Linked DNA regions of Oryctolagus cuniculus. The protein of the gene in region 4 binds, or shares a complex with, the protein of the main gene of each other region. Links are inferred from orthologs where the notes say so. Each region holds a gene or a part of one and is shown on either strand. Other genes may lie near its edges. The genes, in order: STX8, CPLX1, NAPA, VAMP2 and SNAP25.

What was found.
Region 1: VAMP2 (region 4) and STX8 share a complex: the UniProt entries of both Homo sapiens proteins name them as parts of the SNARE core complex. The link is inferred for Oryctolagus cuniculus from reciprocal best matches to the Homo sapiens genes VAMP2 and STX8.
Region 2: the proteins of VAMP2 (region 4) and CPLX1 are in contact, whole or in part, in a crystal structure (PDB 1KIL), measured with the Rattus norvegicus proteins. The link is inferred for Oryctolagus cuniculus from reciprocal best matches to the Homo sapiens genes VAMP2 and CPLX1. Residues at the interface, in NP_036795.1 of Rattus norvegicus: Arg47, Val50, Asp51, Leu54, Asp57, Gln58, Ser61, Asp64, Asp65, Asp68, Ala69, Gln76; in NP_074055.1 of Rattus norvegicus: Leu41, Arg48, Tyr52, Glu56, Arg59, Glu60, Met62, Arg63, Ile66, Arg67, Tyr70, Gly71, Ile72.
Region 3: the proteins of VAMP2 (region 4) and NAPA are in contact, whole or in part, in a cryo-EM structure (PDB 3J97), measured with the Rattus norvegicus proteins. The link is inferred for Oryctolagus cuniculus from reciprocal best matches to the Homo sapiens genes VAMP2 and NAPA. Residues at the interface, in NP_036795.1 of Rattus norvegicus: Gln36, Ala37, Asp40, Glu41, Val43, Arg47, Val50, Asp51, Leu54, Glu55, Gln58, Lys59, Arg66; in NP_542152.1 of Rattus norvegicus: Arg116, Thr118, Lys122, Ser157, Ser159, Ser160, Lys163, Leu197, Tyr200, Ser201, Lys203, Arg239, Ser268, Ile269, Arg271.
Region 5: the proteins of VAMP2 (region 4) and SNAP25 are in contact, whole or in part, in a crystal structure (PDB 1SFC), measured with the Rattus norvegicus proteins. The link is inferred for Oryctolagus cuniculus from reciprocal best matches to the Homo sapiens genes VAMP2 and SNAP25. Residues at the interface, in NP_036795.1 of Rattus norvegicus: Asn25, Thr27, Ser28, Asn29, Arg30, Arg31, Leu32, Thr35, Gln38, Val39, Glu41, Val42, Ile45, Met46, Asn49, Lys52, Val53, Glu55, Arg56, Lys59, Leu60, Glu62, Leu63, Arg66, Ala69, Leu70, Gly73, Ala74, Gln76, Phe77; in NP_112253.1 of Rattus norvegicus: Gly131, Gly132, Phe133, Ile134, Arg135, Arg136, Asn139, Leu150, Glu151, Ser154, Ile157, Gly158, Leu160, Arg161, Ala164, Leu165, Met167, Gly168, Ile171, Asp172, Gln174, Asn175, Ile178, Asp179, Ile181, Met182, Ala185, Asp186, Asn188, Lys189.

What each region holds. Positions count from the first base shown.
Region 1 is NC_091448.1:53,825,393-53,829,496, forward strand, and holds part of STX8 (syntaxin-8), read right to left. Parts: intron 2,253-4,104; coding exon 2,128-2,252; intron 1-2,127. UniProt on the Homo sapiens protein: Vesicle trafficking protein that functions in the early secretory pathway, possibly by mediating retrograde transport from cis-Golgi membranes to the ER.
Region 2 is NC_091433.1:185,635-189,738, forward strand, and holds part of CPLX1 (complexin-1), read right to left. Parts: intron 2,133-4,104; coding exon 1,957-2,132; intron 1-1,956. UniProt on the Homo sapiens protein: Positively regulates a late step in exocytosis of various cytoplasmic vesicles, such as synaptic vesicles and other secretory vesicles.
Region 3 is NC_091449.1:10,127,160-10,132,046, reverse strand, and holds the start of NAPA (alpha-soluble NSF attachment protein), read right to left. Parts: upstream 3,226-4,887; 5' UTR 3,028-3,225; coding exon 2,930-3,027; intron 1-2,929. UniProt on the Homo sapiens protein: Required for vesicular transport between the endoplasmic reticulum and the Golgi apparatus. Together with GNA12 promotes CDH5 localization to plasma membrane.
Region 4 is NC_091448.1:52,651,961-52,656,661, forward strand, and holds the start of VAMP2 (vesicle-associated membrane protein 2), read right to left. Parts: upstream 2,926-4,701; 5' UTR 2,768-2,925; coding exon 2,766-2,767; intron 2,236-2,765; coding exon 2,115-2,235; intron 1,645-2,114; coding exon 1,486-1,644; intron 1,406-1,485; coding exon 1,354-1,405; intron 803-1,353; coding exon 786-802; 3' UTR 1-785. UniProt on the Homo sapiens protein: Involved in the targeting and/or fusion of transport vesicles to their target membrane. Major SNARE protein of synaptic vesicles which mediates fusion of synaptic vesicles to release neurotransmitters.
Region 5 is NC_091442.1:35,149,111-35,153,689, reverse strand, and holds the start of SNAP25 (synaptosomal-associated protein 25), read right to left. Parts: upstream 3,046-4,579; 5' UTR 2,888-3,045; intron 2,630-2,887; exon of another isoform or gene 2,307-2,629; intron 1-2,306.

The DNA.
Region 1 (4,104 bases), about 1.2 Mb from region 4:
CACAGTGTACCGGAAGGGAACAAAATACTGCCACGTGAAACACGTACATGAACCTTAATACACTTAGAGAAACAAACCAGACCTCCTCCTCCCCCGGGGGGAGCGCCTGGAGGACTCTTTATATAAAATTACAGAAAAGAGACACTAATTTAGAGTGACAGAAAGCAGAACAGTAGTTGTCTAGGAATGAGAGAAGCAGCAAGAAGAATTACAAAATGACATGGAGGATGTCTTTGGGAGTGACGAATATGTTTGTTCTGATTGTATCGAGGGTTTTGCAGGTTTGTAGATATGTGTCGATGCTTACCAAATCATACACTTCAAATGTGTGCTAGTTATGATAGCATCAACTCGATCTCAATAAAGCTATTTTTAAAAAGTAGAATTACAAGGCCAGCGCCGCGGCTCACTAGGCTAATCCTCCGCCTAGCGGCGCCGGCACACCGGGTTCTAGTCCCAGTTGGGGCGCCGGATTCTGTCCCGGTTGCCCCTCTTCCAGGCCAGCTCTCTGCTGTGGCCAGGGAGTGCAGTGGAGGATGGCCCAAGCGCTTGGGCCCTGCACCCCATGGGAGACCAGGAAAAACACCTGGCTCCTGGCTCCTGCCATCGGATCAGCGCGGTGCGCCGGCCGCAGCGCGCCGGCCGCGGCGGCCATTGGAGGGTGAACCAATGGCAAATGGAAGACCTTTCTCTGTCTCTCTCACTGTCCACTCTGCCTGTCAAAAAAAAAAAAAAAAAAAAAAAAGTAGAATTACAAAGGTCATACCTGTATATACTGACATGAAAAATGTCTGACACATTTTTTTTTTTTTTGACAGGCAGAGTGGACAGTGAGAGAGTGAGAGAGAGAGAGAGAGAGAGAGAGAGAGAGAGAGAAAGGTCTTCCTTTTGCCATTGGTTCACCCTCCAGTGGCTGCCGCAGCCGGTGCACTGCAGCCGGCGCACCGCACTGATCCGATGGCAGGAGCCAGGTGCTTCTCCTGGTCTCCCATGGGGTGCAGGGCCCAAGCACTTGGGCCATCCTCCACTGCACTCCCTGGCCATAGCAGAGAGCTGGATTGGAAGAGGGGCAACCGGGACAGAATCCGGTGCCCCGACCGAGACTAGAACCCGGTGTGCCGGCGCCGCAAGGTGGAGGATTAGCCTAGTGAGCCGCGGCGCCGGCCACACATTACATTTTTTAAAAGCTGTGGAAGAGGGCCAGTGCTGTGGCATAGCGGGCAAAGCCACCACCTGCAGTGCCGGCATCCCATATGGGTGCTAGTTCAAGTCCTCCCTGCTCCACTTCCAATCCAGCTCTCTAAGGTCTGGGAAAGCAGGAGAAGATGGCCCAAAGTCCTTGGGCCCCTGTACCCATGTGGGAAACCCAGAATAATCTCCTGGATCCTAGCTTTGTATCGGCCCTGCTCTGGCTATCACAGCCATCTGGGGAGTAAACCAGTGGATGGAAGCTCGCTCTCGCTCTCTCTGCCTCTGCCTCTAAATCTGCCTTTCAAATAAATAAATCTTAAAAAAAAAAAAAAAGGTGTGGATGACACACCTATCAGGAGGTACCTGTGTTTCTCACGTGTTACACTGAATACATGCACACCATGGATCCACATCTGAGGAAACATGCCTGGCCCCACTGAACCCAGGCTGAGACTGGAGAAGCAATGGTTTGCCATCTCTCCTAGCCCTAGATGGCTTGAACTATGTATGGCAATCATGCACTGCTTCTCAAGTTTGAACAGCAGAAGAGGTTGAAAAAGAAACAATTAGGCTGACAAGCTACTGAGCAAGATGAACTTGAAGGTAAAAACCAAACTGACTTATTTTATAGAAGAAAAAGATGGAGTCTTGCGTTCGGAAAAAAAAACCTATAGGTACACACATCAAAGTCACCCAGACTCGTCAGCATGAGACCAGCTCAGGTCCGAAGACAGATCCCCTGCTTCCCTGAGCTGCGGGGTGGGTGACGGCCGGCGTCTATTCCTCAGGTATTCTGAGGCACGAAGATCCCAAGAGCCTAAAAATTAGGCCAACAGTTTCGTTCCGATTTGCAGTGGGGGTTAAGGGACATTCAAGGCTATTGCAAAAAGCTGGCAAGGTTACTTCTAAACCCACACTCTTTGGGGTGTTCAGTACCTTGGATGATTTTTTGCTGCTGTTGCCGAATCTCATCAAAACCCAAGCCTCTGGTCTCCTCTGGCTCCTCCAAGAGCCAAGGGTTGGGCGCTCCTCGCTTAGCTTCTTCACTCATCAGACTGGACCTGAGAACAATGTCAAACGCATTACATATGGCAGAAAACACAGCTCAGCTGCAAACCGCTCCCACAGGTGCAGAGAGGCCCAGCCTCACATGCTCTGAAAATTCAACCTGACCACGATTTACGGCATCCTTGGTTTATGCCAGGAACTGTGTTCCAGTGCTGTTGAGAGATACAGGAATGAACAAGGTACAAGTCTGGTCCAAGGAATTACAGCTTGCCAGAGAGATGATGGGAGAACCTAACACTCACACTAATCCTCCAAGAGGTACCAGAGGCATAACCACACAGACATTATTAGGAAAGGAGTTCTTAAATGGCCTTTTTATTTAAGACAAAGTAGGTGCCTCGTTAGTGCAGTAGGTAGTGTGTCACTTTCATATTTAAGACAAATTTTTTTCATACACCAAAGGTAGAAATATCTGTTGGGATTGGCACTGTGGCGTAGTGGGTAAGACCGCCACCTGCAGTGCCAGCATCCCATACGGGTGCCAGTTCAAGTCCTGGCTGCTCCACTTCCCGTCCAGCTCTCTGCTATGGCCTAGGAAAGCAGTAGAAGATGGCCCAGGTCCTTGGGCCCCTCCACCAGCATGGGAGACCCAGAAGAAGCTCCTGGCTTTGGATCGGTACAGCTCCAGCTGTTGTGGCCAACTCAGGAGTGAACAGGCAGATGGAAGACCTCTCTCTCTGCCTCTCCTTCTCTGTGTAATTCTTTCAAATAAATAAATAAATCTTGGGCCGGTGCCGTGGCTCACTTGGTTAATCCTCCACCTGCGGCGCCGGCATCCCATATGGGCGCCAGGTTCTAGTCCCGGTTGCTCCTCTTCCAGTCCAGCTCTCTGCTGTGGCCTGGGAGTGCAGTGGAGGATGGCCCAAGTGCTTGGGCACTTGCACCCGCGTGGGAGGCCAGGAGGAAGCACTTGGCTCCTGGCTTCAGATCTGTGCACCGTGCTGGCCGTGGCGGCCATTTGGGGGGTGAACCAACGGAAGGAAGACCTTTCTCACTCTAACTGTAACTCTGACTGTAACTCTGACTCTGACTCTAACAACTCTGCCTGTCAAAAAAAAAAAAAAAAAAAGAAAGAAAGAAAGAAAGAAAGAAAGAAAGAAAGAAAGAAAGAAAGAAAGAAAGAAAGAAAATTAAAGAAAAAGTAGAACTACAGGTTTCAAAAACCTAGGTAAGTAAGGGGCCAGTGCTGTGGTGTAGCGGGTGAAGCCGCCACCTACAGTGCCGGCATCCCATATGGGTGCCAGTTCGAGTCCTGGTTGCTCCACTTCTGATCCAGCTCTCTGCTATGGCCTGGGATAGCAGTAGAAGATGGCCCAAGTCCTTGGGCCCCTGCAGCCAACATGGGAGATCCAGAAGAAGCTCCTGGCTCCTGGCTTCGGATCAGCACGGCTCCAGGCATTGCAGCCAATTGGGGAGTGAACCATTGGATGGAAGACCTTTCTCTCTGCTTCTCCTTCTCTCTCTGTGTAACTCGGACTTTCAAGAAAAATAAATAAATCTTAAAAAAAAAAAAAAAAAAAAAAAAAAAAAAAAAAAAAAAAAAAAAAAAACCTAGGTAAATCCTAAATCCTGAGTCTGATGCCATTAAAAGAAAAAAAAAAGGGCAACGATGTTACAGCAGCAGTAGGAGCAACACCAAGCATTCGCTCTGTACAGACACAGCCCTAGGTTTTATACCCACCCACATCTCTCCCCATTACTCAGCATCCTTCCAGCCCTGATCACATCCGTCATTGTCTACTCCATCTGTTTAACCTTTCACACGTGAATCCCAGGTCCACCAGGCAGGCGGGAGGAACTGAAGATCACCCCCCTCAGCACTGCACACGGCTTCCCAGACGCTGT
Region 2 (4,104 bases), on a different chromosome or scaffold from region 4:
GGTCCTTCTTTTCTCTCGAGGTTTTGTGATAAACCCGGGGTGGCCTCAGTGACAATACACCCCTGCCAACACCCCAGAACAGCGTGGACACTGCAGTCTTGGTGAGGCCACGAACCACCAAACAAGTGGCGGGCACAGGGCAGGAGTGGGGTCCACCCAGGCTGGGGGCTCAGGGTCTCCCCTGAGCCAGGGCTGACCTCCAGCTCCAAGGGGGCGATGAGGTGGGCACCAGCGGGGGCAGTGCTGGGCAGGACCAGGTCACACACCCATGCTGGGTCACCTGCCTCGGGAAGGGGGCTTTCCGCCCAGGGGGAGGCCCTGGCCATTTCTGCCTTAGTGCCCCCTCACCCTGCCCACAAAGTGCCTGGGTCTCAAGGAGGCCCCCTCCCAGATGGGGGCTGTCTGTGTCCTTGTGCCCTCCCCTACAGCTGTGGGTAGCCTCGGACCTGGGGCTGCAAGGGCCATGTCCAGCTGGAATCTGAGCAGAGGATGCCATGGTCCCCACCCCCAGCAGCCTGAGCTTCCTCAGCCCCTCTTCCCTCGGCACAGCTGGGAGTGCCACGGTCGCCAGGCCAGAACACCCGGCGCCCACACCTCACTGACCGGTCAGCCAGGCGAGGGAACCAGGCACACTGGGCCTCCCCAGCGGCCTGCCTCACTCTGTAAGGGCAGCAGCCCTGGGCACAGAAGGGGGGCAGGAGCATGTGTGGGCTGGGAGAGGGAAACTAGGTCAGGCCAGAGAGCACGTCCCCCAGCCGGGGCACGGGCAGGCGGGCTCCTGCAGCATGGCGCCTGTTTACCGGTGTGGGGCACACACGGCAGAGGGACTTGGGAGCACACAGCGTGGAGGAAGTCGGGTCCTCCCCTCGGGGCCCAGGGAGGCCCCAGGCCCCACCAGGACTGCGTGGTCACTCTGAGCTTGCCTGAAGGGCCAGTCACTCCACTAAGTGTCCAGGCTGCCCTACCTGGACGGGCACTGAGGCTCTTGCGCTACAGACACCCGGGCCAGGTGCCCGCCAGTCCCCAGGACAATAGCCCACGGAGATGACCAGAGAGGGCGCCCGGCCAGCACATGGACCCCTGGAAATCACAGCCTGTGGGGCTGGTGGCAGGGGCAAGAACCCAGAGGCAGGAGGTGACACCAAGTCTGGAGGAGGCTGCGTCCTGGACACATAAGTGCCGTGCCTGCCTGTGCCCCTGTCCACCTCAGAAGCCCAGCTCCCAACGGAGCCAGGAGAGGCTGCTTTGTCCTCTCAGGGGTCGGATGAGGCAAGGAGGGGCCCTGGGTCTGAGCCTTCCCCCTGCACAGTCCCAGGGCACTGGAGGAGTGAGGGAAGGCACAGGCCCCCCCAACAGCCTCTCGGTCCTGAGCCCCAGCACTGGAGGCCCCATTCCCACTGCTGTTTCCTGCACCCCAACAGGGGCTGACTGCTCCCTACCCCACCCCCAGGCTCTCTGGAGCCTCCTCCCCCAGCTGAACAGGTAGCTGCATGTGGCTATGCTAGACTCGGCTCTCAGCAGGGACCCAGGCCCACATCCAGGTGCCCACTCTGGCCACAACTCCCAGGAGGTCACTCAGATGACTAGAACAGGGGCCACTGTCAGCTGGACACCCACCCCCTCACCATGCCCACCCTGCCCGCCTTGCCGGTTCCAGCCCCCAACTTTGTGAATCCAGGAAGGCAGGGAGCTCCCTCCCTAGAGAGGTCTGACCTCAAACCCAGGCTCCGAAGATCCCTGGCCCCAAAAGCAGCCCCCACCCCATCCACAGGGCCTCCCCCAGGACAGACCGGCCTCACAGGGAGCCCCGGCCCAGATGTGACAGCTGCCCCCATGGGACCATGTCCCGGCACCTGTTCCGTGCATAGGTGTCCACAGAGAGAGACCCCATGCGGCCCCTGCCGCGCCCAGAACCAGGCCAGCATCTGCCTGGGGCATGTCCCGTCCTGTGCCCACCTTGTCGCGGATGCCCTGGCGCATGGCCTCTCGCTCGGCCTCCATCTTGGCGTACTTGGCCTTGCGTTCCTCCTCCTCCTGCCTCAGCGCCTCCTGCCGCTCCTCCTCCTTCTTGGCAGCATCGGGGTCCTTCTCCTCGTCACCCCCAAGCATCTTCCCCATGTCCTTGGTGGCCCCTGGGGGCGGGAGGGCAAGCAGTCAGGCAGCTGAGTGGGGAGCGAGCTCGCGCAGGACCCGCGGTTTGAGGGCGGCGGGGTTGCGGGTGGGACTCTGTGCAGGGGTGGCTGGACACGGGGCTCCGTGTATGGTCTGTGTCATCTCTGGGCCTGTGCCTAGTCGAGGGTCAACCCTCAGCAGGGCCGGCAGGACTCGCCAGATCTGCAGGCTGGACAGGAGCAGGCAGGGCGCCAGGTCGGATGCCAGCAGTCAGCGGTCGGTCAGGCTCCGGCACCAAGGCCCCGATCCCTCTGCTGTGTTTGCTCACGAGCCCCTGACCCACGCCCCTCCCCCTCCCCCCATGCTGTCTGTGGTTCACCCACGGAACAGGCACAGCAGCCCCTGCACTGAGTCAGCGGTGCTGCCCAGGAGGTAGCTCACCACACCCTGCAGGGCCACGGGGCGTCAGGGCCTGGCTAGGCACCCCGTTGCCCCTGCCAGTCACAGCCACGTCCCACCGTGGCCCTCAATCTGCAGGAGCAGAGTGCCACTCCCACCTGTGGTGTATGCAGACGGCAGGCACAGGCTGCCCCCTGCCTCCCGCAGGCGGGACCAGTGACACCCACGGCCTCTCTGGACCCAGCCTCCCCTTGCGTGTGTGCTCTCGCTCCCCTGGGGCAGGACCTCCTGAGCACCACCCCGGCTACCTGAGTCATGCCTCAGGGGAACCACCCGCTGAGTGCGGGCGCCTAGCGCCCCGCGCCTCCACCCGTGTGCAGAGGTGCCTCTCCCTGCTCTGGATCCAGAGGCCCTGCCCTGGTCCCAGCGGCAGACACCGAGGGCCCTCTCCAGCCTCCGAGGGCAGCGCGTGTGCCGCCCCCTGCTGGCGGGATGAGAACAAGGTTCTGGTGGAGTGTTCTGGACTGAAAACTGGACGCCTGAGGCCGAGCCATTCCGCGCCACGAGGGCCTTCCTACTTCTCTGGCCATCTTGTCGCCCTCGTCACTGCGGGGACCTGGAGCCAGCCTGTGTCAGGAACTTGCCGATGGCACAGATCCGGACGCATCAGAGAACCAAGAGCCTGCAGTCAGTTTTCAGCTGCTTCTGCAAAATTCTGCAAAGCGGATTTTAGGGCACGGGTTGGCGGGAAACTGGGTCAGAGAAGAAGCCGAGTCCACTCCCCCTCCCAACGGTTCCCACTCGTGCCCGGGCCTCTGCCTGCCGAGCTGTGGTCTCTGGCAGGGGCAGAGGAGGCCAGGACAAACCACACAGCCTGACTGCTCTGCGCTGGTTCACACTCAGCGAGAGCGGCTGTGAGTCCTGTCTCTCTCCTCGCCCGCTTTCCTCTCTCCTGCGCAGCGCGGGGGTGGGCTGCACCCCAAGGCCTGCCCCCCCCGCCACAGGCTCTGGTTCCAGTCGAGGCGGCTGCGTTTATTGAGCACCGACTGTGCGCTAAGCTCTGTGGGTGTCCTGCAGGGACTTCGGCGGCCCCACTTGAGCTCCGGGGAGGGAAACCCCACCTTTAGGAGAGGAGGAGCGGGGAGGCCAGCAGCCCCGCCACCCACACTGTCAGAGGGACCAGGGAGCCACAAGCACCCCCCGTGCTTCCTCCCACCCCCAGTGCTGCAGGAACGGCCTCCGGAACCTTCCAAACGCTGGAGTGGGGTGCCAGAGCCGCCCGGCGGGAAGCTTGTTCCTGGCTCCTGAGCCGGAATCACCGTTTGCTCTCTTGGCACAGACACCGGAGCTGCCGGGTGGGTGGGGCTGCGCCTCTCACTCCGTGCCCCTTGCCCCCACCCCACCCTGAGCTCCCCATCCTGTACTCGGTGCCTGCTTCCCCGCCCAGAGCCCCTGCCCCTTGCCATGACATCACGCAGTGGGCAGATGAGGAAGCTGAGGCGTGAAGCAGTTTTACGCCGCACCCTGGACGGGGACATCCCTCCCGCCGGGTCGCCAAGGGTCCCGGCCTCTGACCCCACCCCTCCTGCACTC
Region 3 (4,887 bases), on a different chromosome or scaffold from region 4:
GCCAGGTGCTTCTCCTGGTCTCCCATGGGGTGCAGAGCCCAAGCACTTGGGTCATCCTCCACTGCCCTCCCGGGCCACAGCAGAGAGCTGGCCTGGAAGAGGGGCAACCGGGACAGAATCCGGCGCCCCAACCGGGACTAGAACCCGGGGTGCTGGCGCCACAAAGCGAAGGATTAGCCTAGTGAGCCGCGGCACCGGTTGTTTTCTATTTTTTAAAGATTTATCTACTTGAAAGGCAGAGTGACAGAGAGGAGGAGGGTGGAGTGGACAAAGAGAGACAGAGACATAGAGATCTGGGGTTGTGCCAGTCCGGAGCCAGGAACCAGGCCCTCCACCGGGTCTCCAGCACCTGGGCATCTGCTGCCTTCCCGGGCACACTGGCAGAGAGCTGGATCAGAGAGGAGCTGCCGGAACTCAAACCAGCGCCCCGATGCGGGGTGCCAGCGTCGGGGCAGCGCAGGCCCCAAAGCTGCTTCCTTTCTCCCGTGGAAGACTGGGGGGGAGGGGCTAGAGGGCGGCAGCTCCCCGAGACCTGGTGTGCCGCGCCCTCCCCACTGCAGAGCTCTGGGGGCTCGGCCCTGGCCCTGGCCCTGGAGCAGCCGCTGCGGCACGGCAGGGCAGAGTGAGCGCCAGGCCGGGCAGCGCATGCTGCTCCAGCACCTACGGCGATGTCTCTAGGCCTCCGCTATCCACGGGGCTTTGGCGAGGACGGAAGCGCCAGGCCCGGCGTCAGGAAGCACGGGCGGCAGCGTCCCCAGTCGCTGCTCAGACCCAGCACTCTCCTCTCGGGCTCGGCTCAAGTCCAGGCCCTCGCTCGCTCGTGGCCTCACCTTGGCCCAGCCCCAACCCCCTGCACTAAACCTTCACAGGCCGCGCCTCACAGCTCCGCAGCACACGGCTCCCCCGATGGCCCATCACGCCCGAGGGAGACCACCCCTGGCCGTCCCTGTCACCAGGTGAGGCCTTTGCTCACAGCACTCATGCCAGGCGCCGTCCGCCCGAGTCCTGCAGGCTTTGAAGGACATCACCCAGCCCACCTTACAACCAACAACCCAGCCTCACTAGTCCACGCCAAGTGTCGCGCTCCCCATCCCAACCCAGCAGCCTGTCCCAGGCTGGCTTAGCTGCCCGCCCCCCCCCCGGTGCAGCCCAGCGGGGCCCTAACCCTGGGCCAAGGGCACCAGACACCACCAGCCACCCTCAGAACAGCGCACTTGAATTACACACACGCATGCGCACACACACGGTCTCCACTCAGTCTACAACAAAACCCATGAGGACCCGGACGTTTTCCTTTGCTGTTATCCCACCTCCAGCAGCAAGGGCAGGCTCAGTCTCCTGGAAAGACCCTCCCCCCCCCGCCTCCCAGACCCCCTTCCCCGGCTTGCAGCAAACCCCAGTCCCATTCCCCGTCCTAAGCTCGGCCTCAGCGGCTTCCCGCTGACCTCCACTACCCCTCCCCGGCCCCCGTGCCCTGACCTCTGCTACCCCTCCCTGGCCCTGACCCCCCAAGGTTCCAGCTGACCTCTGCTACCCCTCCCCGGCCCTGATCCCCCAAGGTTCCAGCTGACCTCCGCTACCCCTCCCCGGCCCTGACCCCCAAGCTTCCAACTGACCTCCGCTACCCCTCCCCGGCTCTGACCCCCCAAGCTTCCAGCTGACCTCCGCTACCCCTCCCCGGCCCTGACCCCCCAAGCTTCCAGCTGACCTCCGCTACCCCTCCTGGGCCCTGACCCCCCAAGGTTCCAGCTGACCTCCGCTACCCCTCCCCGGCCCCGTGCCCTGACCCCCCAAGCTTCCCGCTGACCTCCGCCACCCCTCCCCAGCCCCGTGCCCTGACCCCCCAAGCTTCCCGCTGACCTCCGCTACCCCTCCCCGGCTCTGACCCCCCAAGCTTCCAGCTGACCTCCGCTACCCCTCCCCGGCCCCGTGCCCTGACCCCCCAAGCTTCCCACTGACCTCCGCTACCCCTCCCCGTGCCCTGACCCCCCAAGCTTCCCGCTGACCTCTGCCACCCCTCCCCGGCCCCGTGCCCTGACCCCCCCAAGTTTCCCGCTGACCTCCGCCACCCCTCCCCGGCCCCGTGCCCTGACCCCCCAAGCTTCCCGCTGACCTCCGCTACCCCTCCCCGGCCCGTGCCCTGACCCCGCTAAGCCCCGCGGTCCGCAGGCCTTCCCTGCCCCTTTCGGCTCCTGAGCCGCTCCCCGGCTCCCGCCTGGCTCTCTACCAGCCCCCATCACCGCACACCTCTTTCCTTGCAGGGCACTCCCAACACTGCCAGCCACCACTTCGGAGCGCTCGCCATCCGCCAGCCCAACGCCGCCCGGCTATCGACGGGGAGGAGACAGCTCTCACTGGCTACCCCTTCGTCGGGGAGATTAAAACTCACCCAGGTCGCGGGCTGAGCGGCAGCCGCACCCCAAAGCCCCTCAGTGCGGCCGGCCCTGAGCTGCCGCCAACTTCCGTGGGCGCCTGCCGCATGGCAGCCGCTAGTCCTGTCCCCAAGCCCTCAGGCCCTGTGCGAGCCCTGTCCTTACCGAAGGGCTACGCAGCAGCCCCCTGCCTGGGCTCGGGAAGGTCAGCCCCTTGGGCAGGTGGCCCCAGCCCCAGGCCCCGGCGCGACCCCTCAAACAGATCCCCCGAGGGCTTGAGAAGGCTTTGGAACCTGGCCCCCGCGGCTGGTCCCCGCCAAGGCCACTGCCCGTATCCCCTTCGCCCAGGTCTCCGCTGGCCTCTGAGCCCGTCTTCAGCCTGGATCCCCTTCCCCGCCTCAAGAGGTGGTCGCCCGGGCCCGTGGGTCCCCAGCCCAAGCCCCTTCGGCCCTCTCCCTGGAAACCGGCCCCCGCACCGCGCCTCCCCCGCCACCCCAGGCCGTGACCCCTGCGGCCCCCAGCCCAGGTCCCGGCCGACCTTTCGGCCTGGTTCCTACCCGAACAGGCCTGAGAAGAAGGACTGCGAGTTCTTCACTTTGCGCTCCGCCTCGGCGAGCAGCGCCATCGCCTCCGCTTCCTTCCCCGAGTTATCCATGGCGGCCGCAGAGCGAACTCAGCGAACCGCCCGACCCGGGCCCTGGGAGGACTCAGGCCCGGCCGGGCCGCGGTACACAGGTCCCGGGAGCTTAGCTGGCTGCGTTGACGTCGCACCGGCGCGCGCCGCCCGAGGCCGGGCACCAGGTGACTGGCACTGGCCAATCAGGGACCTCGTAGCGCGGCGCGCTCCCCGCTGGCCACGCCCCGGCAGGCCGCCGCGCACCGCCCCGTGACTCTCGACGCATGCGTAGCCACCTGTTTTGCGCCTCTCTTCCGGATGCTCCGCACCCACCACCTCGTGACGCCGCACTAGCCAATCGTAGCCCTCACCGTCAGGGACCCACCCCCAAAGTGCTGCCGCAGTATTTGCCTTTCCACCAATCAGCAGCCGCTCTCTGCTCGGGTCCGCCCCACCTTGCGGAAGTTGGGCACGGGTCAGCTGGAGCGGCGGCTGTCACGTGACAACTTCCGGCGCACGCCTGGGTTTGACAGTTCTCTTGCTCGGTGTTTTAGTCCCGCCTCTAAGCCTTGTCTCGCGTGGTTCCTTTCACTCGAAAAGGCCTCAGTGGGAAAAAAGGGGAGCGTTCTGCTTTCTCTTGCGCCCTCTGCCGGCCGATGCTGAAACTGGCGCGGGAGGCCCGTGCAGTGCTTGACAGATGGGAGCGCCTGCAGCCGCGCGTGCGAGATTCAGGCGAGAGGGGGACGCAGGGACGGGGCAGAGAACGAGAGGCGTCGCCCCCGGAGCTTGTTTCCCAGGGGCCGGACTCGCCAGTCTGAGCCGCGGGGCCGCGCAGAGCGTGGGGCGCTGCTGGCGCCGCGGGGGGCCCCTCTCGCCGTGGGCCCTCCGTCCTGGCGGCTTCCCCGGCCAGCCGTCCGGCAGGGAGCTCGACCTGGCCGCTGGCCGCAAGTCAAGCTGTCTGCCTGCCGGCGGTTCCAGCATTGCCTGGTGTCTTGATCTTGATTTTTAGTACTGCTCCCCTTCCCTAGTAAGAGCCGAGGGGGCCACGGCTGCTCAGTGCAGGGTGGCGTCGGATTGACCTCAAGAAGTCAGGGCACAGACGCTGGCCGGCCACACGGTGCCCAGATCGGCTTGTTCACTGCATCAGAGGTACCAGCCTAATGGCAAGCGTGGGGAAGCTGTGGGGTCTGGAGTTTTGGGAACCTATTCTGAAAAGCTGCTTTACAGAGTCAGGTTGCAGGGCCCGCCCTGTCGCGATCCCCATTCTGAGCCTGCGAGGCACAGGAGTCCATTTCTTTCCAGAGCCCCGCCCAGCATGGGACCGGCGTGTGCACGCGCAGTGCTGTGCGGGGCTGGGGTTGACTGACCAGGGCACGGCAGGCCGACCTCTCGCCCAGCTCTCTTCCAGGAAGCGCTTTCCCGAGCCGCTGCTTGTGGCGGCCGCTGTGTGCGGACCACAGCCTCGGCGGACGTCTGTCTGGATCGCCACAGGCAATTTCGGTCCCGTGCCTGTCCAAGCAGCACCGGTACCAAGCTGTCATGTGTTTTAGGCTGTCGGATGTAAAGCAATAGGCAACCAGTGCACCTGGAGGCCCTTCAGGGAGGTGTCCAGAGCTCACCTAGGGTGGGGATAAACCCCGAGTGCCCCGGCACAACCGCGTCATCCCCTGTCCCACTGCCAGGGATCAGCCTGGAGGTGCCACAGACTACTGTCCCGGCCAGAGCCACCAGGGGAGCTGCCCACGTGCCGGTCTGGACTTCAGCGCGAGGGGGCCAGGTACTGACGCTGGCCGCCACGGGTCCCTGATTCACGCAGTCACTGGACCGCCTGACCCAGCTGACCCGGGCGTCAGCCACGGCCAGCGGTGCGCCCAGCATCAGGGCCCACAGTCACCATGT
Region 4 (4,701 bases):
TGAGGGGAGGGAGGGAAGGGCACAAGAGGTTTGGGAAATGGGGGTAGGGGCGGCAAACGACTAGAGGGCCTGGGAGTGGGCAGTTCCCCAAAAAGCCCAGGCTCTCCACCGCCTGTAAGTAATGTCGTGCAAATAAGAGTGACACAAGGACTACTGGGGACTAACTTTCCAGTAAGAAAGAAATTGGTTCAAAGAAGAGTGATGGAACAAAAAACAAGGAAACCAAAGGGATGTTGGTGTGCAAATGATCTGCTAATTAACACGCTGGAAGCTCCCAGAAGATCTTGGGATTCTCAGGACCAAGTGGGGCCAGTCTCAGGGCCTCCCAATGGATGCAAAGAAGGTGCATGTAGGGAGGCCTGGCCAGGTGCTTTTGTCTGTTGTGGGAGGAGTGCAGAGGGGGAGGAGGGGGAAGGCAAGGAAGGATCAGCTGGATGGGGGAAGGAGAGGGGCTGTTGCATAGCAGATGCAAATGAGGGGACTTGGGACTGGTCAGGAGGGAAAGGGGGGGACAGGGACAGAGAGAGGCGAGGACGGGGACACCTCAGGAAGGGGTGTTAAGGACAACCGGAAAAATCTTCTAGTAATAAAACTACAAACAGACCAAATATATATAATATTATATATGTATAAATAACAGCTGGCTATTTACAGGGGGCACACACACAGACACACACACACACACACGGATCCGGGGAGGGGCTGAGAGATATGGCTGAGAGGTGGAGGAACGGCTGGGGGTGGGGGAGAGGCCCTTCTCTAGGCAGGGCAGACTCCTCGGGGATTTAAGTGCTGAAGTAAACTGTGGAGAGAGGGAAGAGGAAGAGGAAGAGGGAGGGGGGAGGGAGGGAGAGAGAGAGAGCTGGGTGTCAGGCCCGGCCCTGCTGCGGTCCTCCCCACCCCCTAGCTGGCTGGCTGCTGCCCCTTCCCCCAGCTCGAGGCCTCAGTCTCTCCATCTGTGAAGCAAGGGGCTGGCCAGATGGGTGCCTCCACGGGATGGCTTTGGAGCCACACCCCCACCCAATTCACCAGCTCTCAGACAGCGGCAGGACTGGCTTCCTGGCCATGTCTCCATTTCCGCCTCCCACTCCCCAGTTCCAGTTCCCAAACTGGGCTCTCAAGCCCAAAGGATGCTCAGTGAAGTAGTGGGAGATCCACCGGCTTTCCCGTTGCCAACAGTCAGGCACCCGGCAGGCTGCACAGGCTTTCTGGCTCTAGGACCCACAGCTCCCTAAGCAGCTATGTGGCGTTTGCCAGAGTGAAGACTAGGTTAGTGACCTTCACATCCCAGACTGCACCCACCGGGGGGAGCCTCTCCAGAGAAGGGGCCCCGGCCACTCCCGCCCCACTCACCGATGATGATGATGAGGATGATGGCGCAAATCACTCCCAAGATGATCATCATCTGGGGGCGGGAGGGGAGGGTCAGTGAGACAAGCCCCCATCCTTCCATTCACCCCCCAGTTCTCCCGCCCCCGCCCTCACCTTGAGGTTTTTCCACCAGTATTTGCGCTTGAGCTTGGCTGCACTAGTTTCAAACTGGGAGGCCCCCGCCTGGAGTGCATCGGCGCGGTCGTCCAGCTCAGACAGCTTCTGGTCCCGCTCCAGGACTTTGTCCACATTCACCCTCATGATGTCCACCACCTGGGGGAGGGGCCCAGGAGGCAGGGGGTGTGCCAAGGCCCGCCGAAACGAGGGCACTCCTTGACCGTGTGCCCAGGGTGCCATACACAGAACATGCACCCAGATACCGCCAAGTTAACATGCCAAGGACACACAGAGAACATGCCTAGCATACCTGGGGACATGCAAGGAGCACACATCAGGGGCATGCTGGCAGCCACACATTCAGATGTCAGAGCGACCCTCAGAGAGCCTGTCAGTCACCAGGGCAAACCTGCCCAGGCTGGCACACCGCAGGCTAGCAAGGCTGCTTGACACCCCAGCGCCCTTCCAAATGTGTGCTGACGCGAAGGCAGGGAGGAGGCTCGGCATGTCTTTGTCCCCACACCCACAGCTGTGAACTGTCATCACCCCCAACCCGCGATGGGCCCCACACCTGCGTGCCCACCTGCAGGCTCTGGCCTGCGGCCTCCCACCCGGCTCACACTCACCTCATCCACCTGGGCCTGGGTCTGCTGCAGTCTCCTGTTACTGGTGAGATTGGGAGGGGGCGCAGGGGGGCCGCCCTCCCCGGCCGGGGCGGCAGGGGGGGCGGTGGCAGCGGTAGCAGACCTGAGGAGCAGGCGCAGATTAAGGCCCAGGGTCCAGAGACTCCGGCCCCGCGGCCAGGGCTCCGCCCATCCACCTGTCCATCCGTCGTCCCTCCAGTCCTCCTTTTCGGGAGGAAGGCCGCCCGATGGGAGCCCTGGTCTCCGTCCAGCCCCATCGCCGCTGAGCTGAGTGACCTTGAGCGAGGCCCCCTCCCCCCTCCGGGCCTCAGTTTCCCCGCCTGCCAAATGAGAGCGACCTCACGGACGCGGTCTGGGGTCGACACCGGATGACAGGCGTCCGCGGTGACAGGGCCGGGGCGGGGCAAGGCAGACGCTGGGTCCGCACCCTCCCGCGCGGCCATCGCCCGCGCCGGCCAGCCCGGGGGCCGCGGGGGCTCTCCCCGGCCCGCCGCGCAGTCACGGGCGCCAGGCTGGCCCCGAGAGCACCGGGGGCGCGGGCGGGACCCCGGGCCCTCCCCGCGCGGTCCACTCCCAGGGCGGCGGCCGAGGCGGGGAAGCGCGGTACGGACGGCGGGCGGCCGGCCGACTCACATGGCGGGGGCAGCGGGTGGAGGACTTGGCAGCGGCAGTGATGGCGGCGGCGGCGGCAGCGGCGGCGGCTCGCGCTGGCTCCGACTGGCGCTGGCTGCCCGGGACGGGAAGATGGCGGCCGCACGTCACCCGCACCCGGGCACTGCGGGCGGGGGCGGGGCTCGCAGGCGACACGTCGCGAGCGCGGCCGCGGGGGCGGGGCGGGGCCCGGCGGGGCGGGGGTCGAGCCGGGCGGGGCCGCCGCGGCGCGCCTCGCGCGCCCTCCCCGCACCTCGCGCGCCCTCCGCGCCACCCCTGGCTGACTGCTGCGGCTTTCCCCAAACCCCCGCGCCGCCGCGTCCTGGAGGCTCGCAGCCCCCTGCTACCCGGCCTTCCGCCGCGGAGCCCCGCACCTCACCCTAGGCCACCTCCTCCCTCTCCCGTGACTCCGATAAACCAGTCCGCAGCCCCGTGGCCCGAGGTCTCGCCCTGGCCAGGTTGCAATGCCTGGTGACCCCCCAGCTTCGGCACTCGCAATGGGCTGGGCGTGGGGAAATCAGAAGGGCCCAGCGGAGAGCGGGAACGCTCCTGCCAGAGTGGAGGAGCGGGGTGATGCGCGCTGAGACCACCTGTCACCTGGCAGGTGGATGGCTGAAGGGAGGTTTGGGGCCCCTGCGGAGCAGGAGGAGGAGGAGGAGGACCCTTCCCCTCCCCAGGCCCCGCCTCCAACCAAATCCCCGAGGGGCTGCAGGCTATGAAACTGCCAAGTTCAGAGCAGGGGCAGGCAAAGCTGGAGCAGACCCAGGGGGAGGGCGCATGCTGCCCCCCGCACTCACCCCCCCGGGGGGGGACATCGTCACGTCTAGGCCGGCCACAGACCCAGCTGTGCCCCAGACTGGAGTCAGCTGCTGCGGGACAGGCGAGGGCTTTGGCTTTGAACCTGGCCGCAGGCCGGGGGCTTTTTACCTTGGGAGGAAGGAGGACAGCAGGCAAGGGTGGCACTGCTATGTGGTGCTGCTTTACACGTGGGCTAGCCTCCTGGATGTGTCCCCCGGGCAGCTCCTTTTCTCTCTCTGGATCTCCGACACATTACACATCTAGGACTAAATATGTACGGCAGCAGTGGGATAGCTTGTAGGAGATGGTCCCCCTCCTAGGCCATCGATCACTGGTCTCCACCTAAATCCTGCACGTAGTCCCAGCCAGCTTGCAGGAGAAAATGGGCACGGGTGAGCTGTGCCTCTGGAGTGGGCAGGATCAAGGCAAGCTTCCAGGATAGAGGAAGCATTTGGGGGGGGGGGGCGATGGCTGTGGGGTGGGGGCGCTCAAACATTCCTGGAAGTGGGGGACGGAGACTGGTGGCCTTGATCTGTGAGACAAACAGGAGCCAGCTTCTTCCCTCCCCCACGCCGGCTTCCCAGGGCCTGCGGTGTGAGATCCTCCTCCACTGCCGCACCCCACCCCCTCCCGGCAGAAGCCTGGGGACCGGCTCTGTCACCAGAGGTGTCATTTCCCAGCTGTCTGGGGGAGGTGAGTTGGTGGGGGAGGGGCGGAACTCAGCCCAACCTAAGCTGCTCTTGGCTCTCTGGTGGCCCTCGGAGGAGCAGCCACATCCCTGGTCCTTGTGCACGGCTGTGGCGCACCTGGGCTAGCTCAGCCTGTGTGATGACCAACCGGGAAAAGAGCAGCTTTCCTGGGTGGGGGGTGGGGGGTGGTGGAGTGTCTCAGATCAGGCTGTGGGGTGCTGGCTCTGGCTTTGTGGTCAGAGAACAAAGCCAAATACCAGGCTTTAAAGTTCAAATGCCTCAGCTGGTTGGAAGGAGGTTGGTACAAAGGGGCAGAGCCCCCCACAGCCTGCCTTAGCCAGGGAACCGAGAGCGGGGCCAGGCAAGACACCACACATTGGTCCAGGCGTGACCCTCATTTTCCCCTGGCTGAGTCCAGGGAACATGGAAGG
Region 5 (4,579 bases), on a different chromosome or scaffold from region 4:
CCCATTTAATGCTCAAGACCTACAGGTTCTGCTGAAGGCCTGCTGTTACGCAGCTTCCAGGTGGGACTGGAACAAACATCAATCTTCCAGTTGATAACCCTGACACTGAGGGCTATCATTTAGAGCTCAGGAATATCTTTAGACAAGCTAACTAAGGGACAGTTTATGTTGTGTTTGCATATGTGTGATTGTGCATGTCTAACAGAGTGAAAATAAAAGGTTTCATTTTTCAGAGATTTTACCATAGAACAGCTCAGAAGACTGTAAGTTGTTTTGTTATCTGAATGCCAAAATAGTAACAGAAAATTCCAGGTACCATCAGAGGGGCTGCATGAATGATACCTGGTTCATCCTTTTGTCTATCTGCTCATACCTCTTCTCACTGCACTGCCCTGGATTTTTAAAATTCTTAAAATAACACATCTTAGATTCCTTTTTATGAAGTGTGTCAACAATGTACATGTTAAATTCATGAATCAGTGATGTTTTTCTTTAATTTGTCAGTAAGCTCGTTCAGAATTAGCCCTATCATCCCGCATTTTGCTTCTCCCTCCCAGTCCTGTGCCCTTCGCAGCTTCACTGCAGTCCTCTACCTCTTCCTCCTATCCCCAGTCTTCCACTAGCAAACAAACTCAGCAGTAATTACCAATGTCCAAGCACGTAATTCCAGCTGCATTAGGCTTTTCTTTTGACGCAACTACGCAGAGAGCTGTCTGGATATGCAGCATGAAGATAAAAACATTTTTAATGATTCCTGTCCATAACTCCCTTCCTCCCATAACTGAAACAAGTTGTTTATTTTGCCTGAAGATTTTAGAGTTATAAACTTCTTTCATGCAGGTATAGACTGATGAATAAATGTCCACCCAAATAATTTTTACATCCATACAGAACAAATATATATATATTATATACAATACACACACACACATATATATAAATGCATGGTTAACCATAAAAAGGAAAAACACTATGTAATAAATAGATAGCTTGAGATGGAAAAACCTTCTGTATGTGAACAAGATGTTTTAGAATCTTTAGTATACAGATGATTGGAGTTATGCCTAATTAAACACAATCCAAGATCTTATTTTGAGTCTTTTAAAGGGATCATGGTAGCATTTTTTAATATGCTGTACATATTCTTACATATGACAGTTATTCTTTTTGCCAGCTACTTAAATAGTACAGTTTTGATCCCAGCCATTTCATGACAATTTGATCTGTCTAAATCAAAGAGAAATATTGCTGTGATGATTTTTGCTCACTCAGAGGCTCCAAACCTCAGAGTAGAAAATGGCCAAAGTATTTATCATCACCTCAGCAAAATCCTGCAGTGCTATAATAGAAATTGCAGTAGATCTTTAGGTTGGAACCCGGTTTCATTCTAACACCCTGGATCTCTCATCTGCCGTGTCCTGAAGGACACAGTTGGATTGTCCTGTGGTAGACCAGTCTTAATGTTATCAAAACAAAAAAGAAACTACTGACCATTAATAACCAACAACTACAGGAAATACTTCTACTAACTCTGAATTCACAGCAAGAGATGTTAAATAATACACACTATAGGACTGTAATAGTCCTCGAAGATGTATTTTTGTGAATGTGTGCTCGTGGTAATGTTGATTCTTATTAATTCAGTTAATCCTAAATGTTCATAAAATATAAATATTTAGAAAGATATCACTTCTATAAACAGTTTTGCCATCTTCATATATACCCCACTCATGCCCACCCAAGATCTGTAGATTGATTTACTCTGTTAAAAACAAAAACAAACAAAAATGTATATATCTTGCTAGAGACTTAACACATATTATTTTTAAAAGTGTTTATTTCCTACCGAAGAGGGGCAGAGGGCAACACAGAGGGTTTCCACCAGCAGACTTTTTTTTTTTTTTTTGATGGTATGCAGGAGGTGAACAGGAGAGCAGGCAATTGTCTTAAGTCTTTGTGGACAGGATTTATTTTTTCTTCCCTTTTCTCTTTGAACCTACTATGCCTGCTCTATTAATGGTCCCTGTAAGATCAGGGTCTCAGAGAGACGATTTGACCTCCAACCCTGGCACATCCAGTCCCCGCCAGGCGTCTGCCGCAGGTAGATGCCGCTCTGCGGCCGGACTGCTGTCTGTGGTGCTGAAAGGTCGCCGGCGCCAGCACGGGCCCCCGGTACTGCTCTCCAGGGTGCTGAGCACCGGCCGCCGCAGTCCCCGGGGCGAGCCCACCGCGCCAGCCCTCCGCAGAGCCCTCCCACTCGGCACGACCCGCCCGCCTCCCGCCAGCCTGCAGTTGACGTGGAGCAGGCGGCATAAATCAAGTCCGCGGGGCATGGAGGCTGCTGCCGCTGCCACAGCTCCGCTTGCCCGGGGCGAGAACTCGTTCTTTCTCCTTTGGCCTCCCCAGCGCCCCACACCTTGCCTCCTCCTTAATTCTTCCCAAGAGAATTAGAACAACATGATGGCTTTTTGTTTTGATTCGTTTTTTTTTTTTTTTTTTTTTTTTGGTCCACAGAAAGAAAAACAAACCCCTACTCCCTACCCCCTAGCCTGCTAAACATCTCCGAAAACTGCATCGCAAAATGGAAGAGACAGAGTCCCACGACTGTTGCAGAGGAGTAACTTATTCGGTATGTATCCTTGTTCTTCCTCCTCATCGCTCCACCTGCACTATCTCCATTCATCCCTTCCCCAAGCAGCTCACCTCGAAAATACTTTATAAAGCCCCAGAAGGGAGTCTAGCCAGACGTGCATACCCGGAATACCGCACCCTAAGTGTACAAACACTTGCATTTGCCCAAGCTCACTTGCTCTGCCCAGCTGTGGGGTCCCTTTGGGGTACACAGACATCTAGAGCCAGAACCTCGAGCTGGGGAGGGTCCCCTTACCTTGGCTTCTCCAGAGGGTGGTGTTCGCCGGGGCCCCTGCAGGTTGCAAGCGTGGAGGAGCCGCCAAGCAGGGAGGGAAGGAAAGACAGCGCCTGACCTCGGCGAGGTTTCGTCTTCAATGCAACGTGAGCTCTGCCCTCATCAAAGATGGCCGTCCCTTTGACGTCAGCAGCTTTTAATAGCCGGCTCGGGAGGGGCGGGGAGGAAGTATTCTGGCGAGGGGCGGGGTGAGTGGGGGGAATGGAGAGCAGGGAGGGTCGAATGAGGGAGGGGGCGCGTGGTGGCCGGGGAGGAGCGAGGGGGGCGGAGGCGCGTGAAGGGAGGGGACGAGTCTCGAGGTGCCCAGAGCTTGACTCAGCTCCGTGTGCGCTTCACTACAAATCTTTGCATTTTAGCGTTCTATAAACACCCGAACAGAGAGGTTTTAGGACTCCATTTTAACACCCGGTCTTGGGCAAACACATTTACCTTGCCACTGGCTCCCTGATGTCCTTTGTTGTGTGTGCCTATGAATGTTAATATACGTACATCTATAGATCACATATACATAATTTACTCCAGCTGAATTGAGTCACACGCGAAGAGAGGAAGGCAGAGGCGGTGGTGGGAACGGTGAGGGAGGGGGAAATTTCAGCTACGGTTTGTGCCCCTAACCACCAGAAAAGGGTCCGAAGGGACATCCCTGTCAACCCTCCCCAGCTCCATATATGGCTAGGCTACGTGGGTTGCTATTTTTTATGAGTGATTTCTTCATTTTATCCGAGCTGCAACGAGGGCTAGGAGTTTGCATTCATGTGGTCAGTTGGGAAGAGAGACTCACACACTTTATTTTAAAGTACGTCAGAGCTATTACCACGGAGAGTATCCGCTGAGTCCGGAAGGGTCGTTAACCAAACCAGCAGGGGGTTGCTAGGACTCCAGGCTAGGAGTTGAGAGCTGTTGGCCAGGGTAACATTGATGACGCTGTTTTCAGCGGAATTTGCAGTCTGAGCCTGGGGTTTTGCGTTGGGTATTTTAGGAAAAGTCCGCACAGGCACGTAGGCGCCTCCTAGATCGGTCCAGACATCCAGGGAGAAGGTGGCGGGTTTGCGTTCAAGCATGGTTAGGACGCGATAAAACGCTGGTGCTTCGCTCAGTGAGCAAAGCCTGGGCACCACGACAGGCTGGCTCGGGGCTCTCTGATGTTCAAATCAGGGCAAGAGTGAGGAAGGTGTCTTGTGCAAGTCATATGAGAAATTAGAAATAATAATAAAAAAGCAATAATCCTAGCTACCCCCACCCCACCCTGTTGTCGTGCAGGAGGCGCCCAGGGAGGCAGTGGTGGCGGTGATGGGGGTGGCGTGCAAATAGCTCTGCCTTGGAGCCTCTCGGATGATTCACAGGTGTTGGGGAGGCTGTCGCGGGGCTCTCTGCGGGGAGGGCAGGCTGCTGGGCGCGTAGGAGGTGGGGGACCTCGTCTGAGGAACTGTTTGTACTTTTCTGGGGAGGATGCAATTAGAAGTCGTGCCTCGCAGTGTTAAAACTTGATGGCCTCTTTTGGGCTATGGAAGATCCTTGTCTCCTTCAGACGTAGAGAAAACCATTTAGAACTGGCTCCGGAAAAACAATATACAGACAAGTACGGACACACACACACGCACCCACACACGCACCTTGCTGGCTGAGGGCCAAGCTTCAGCAATAATAAGCCTT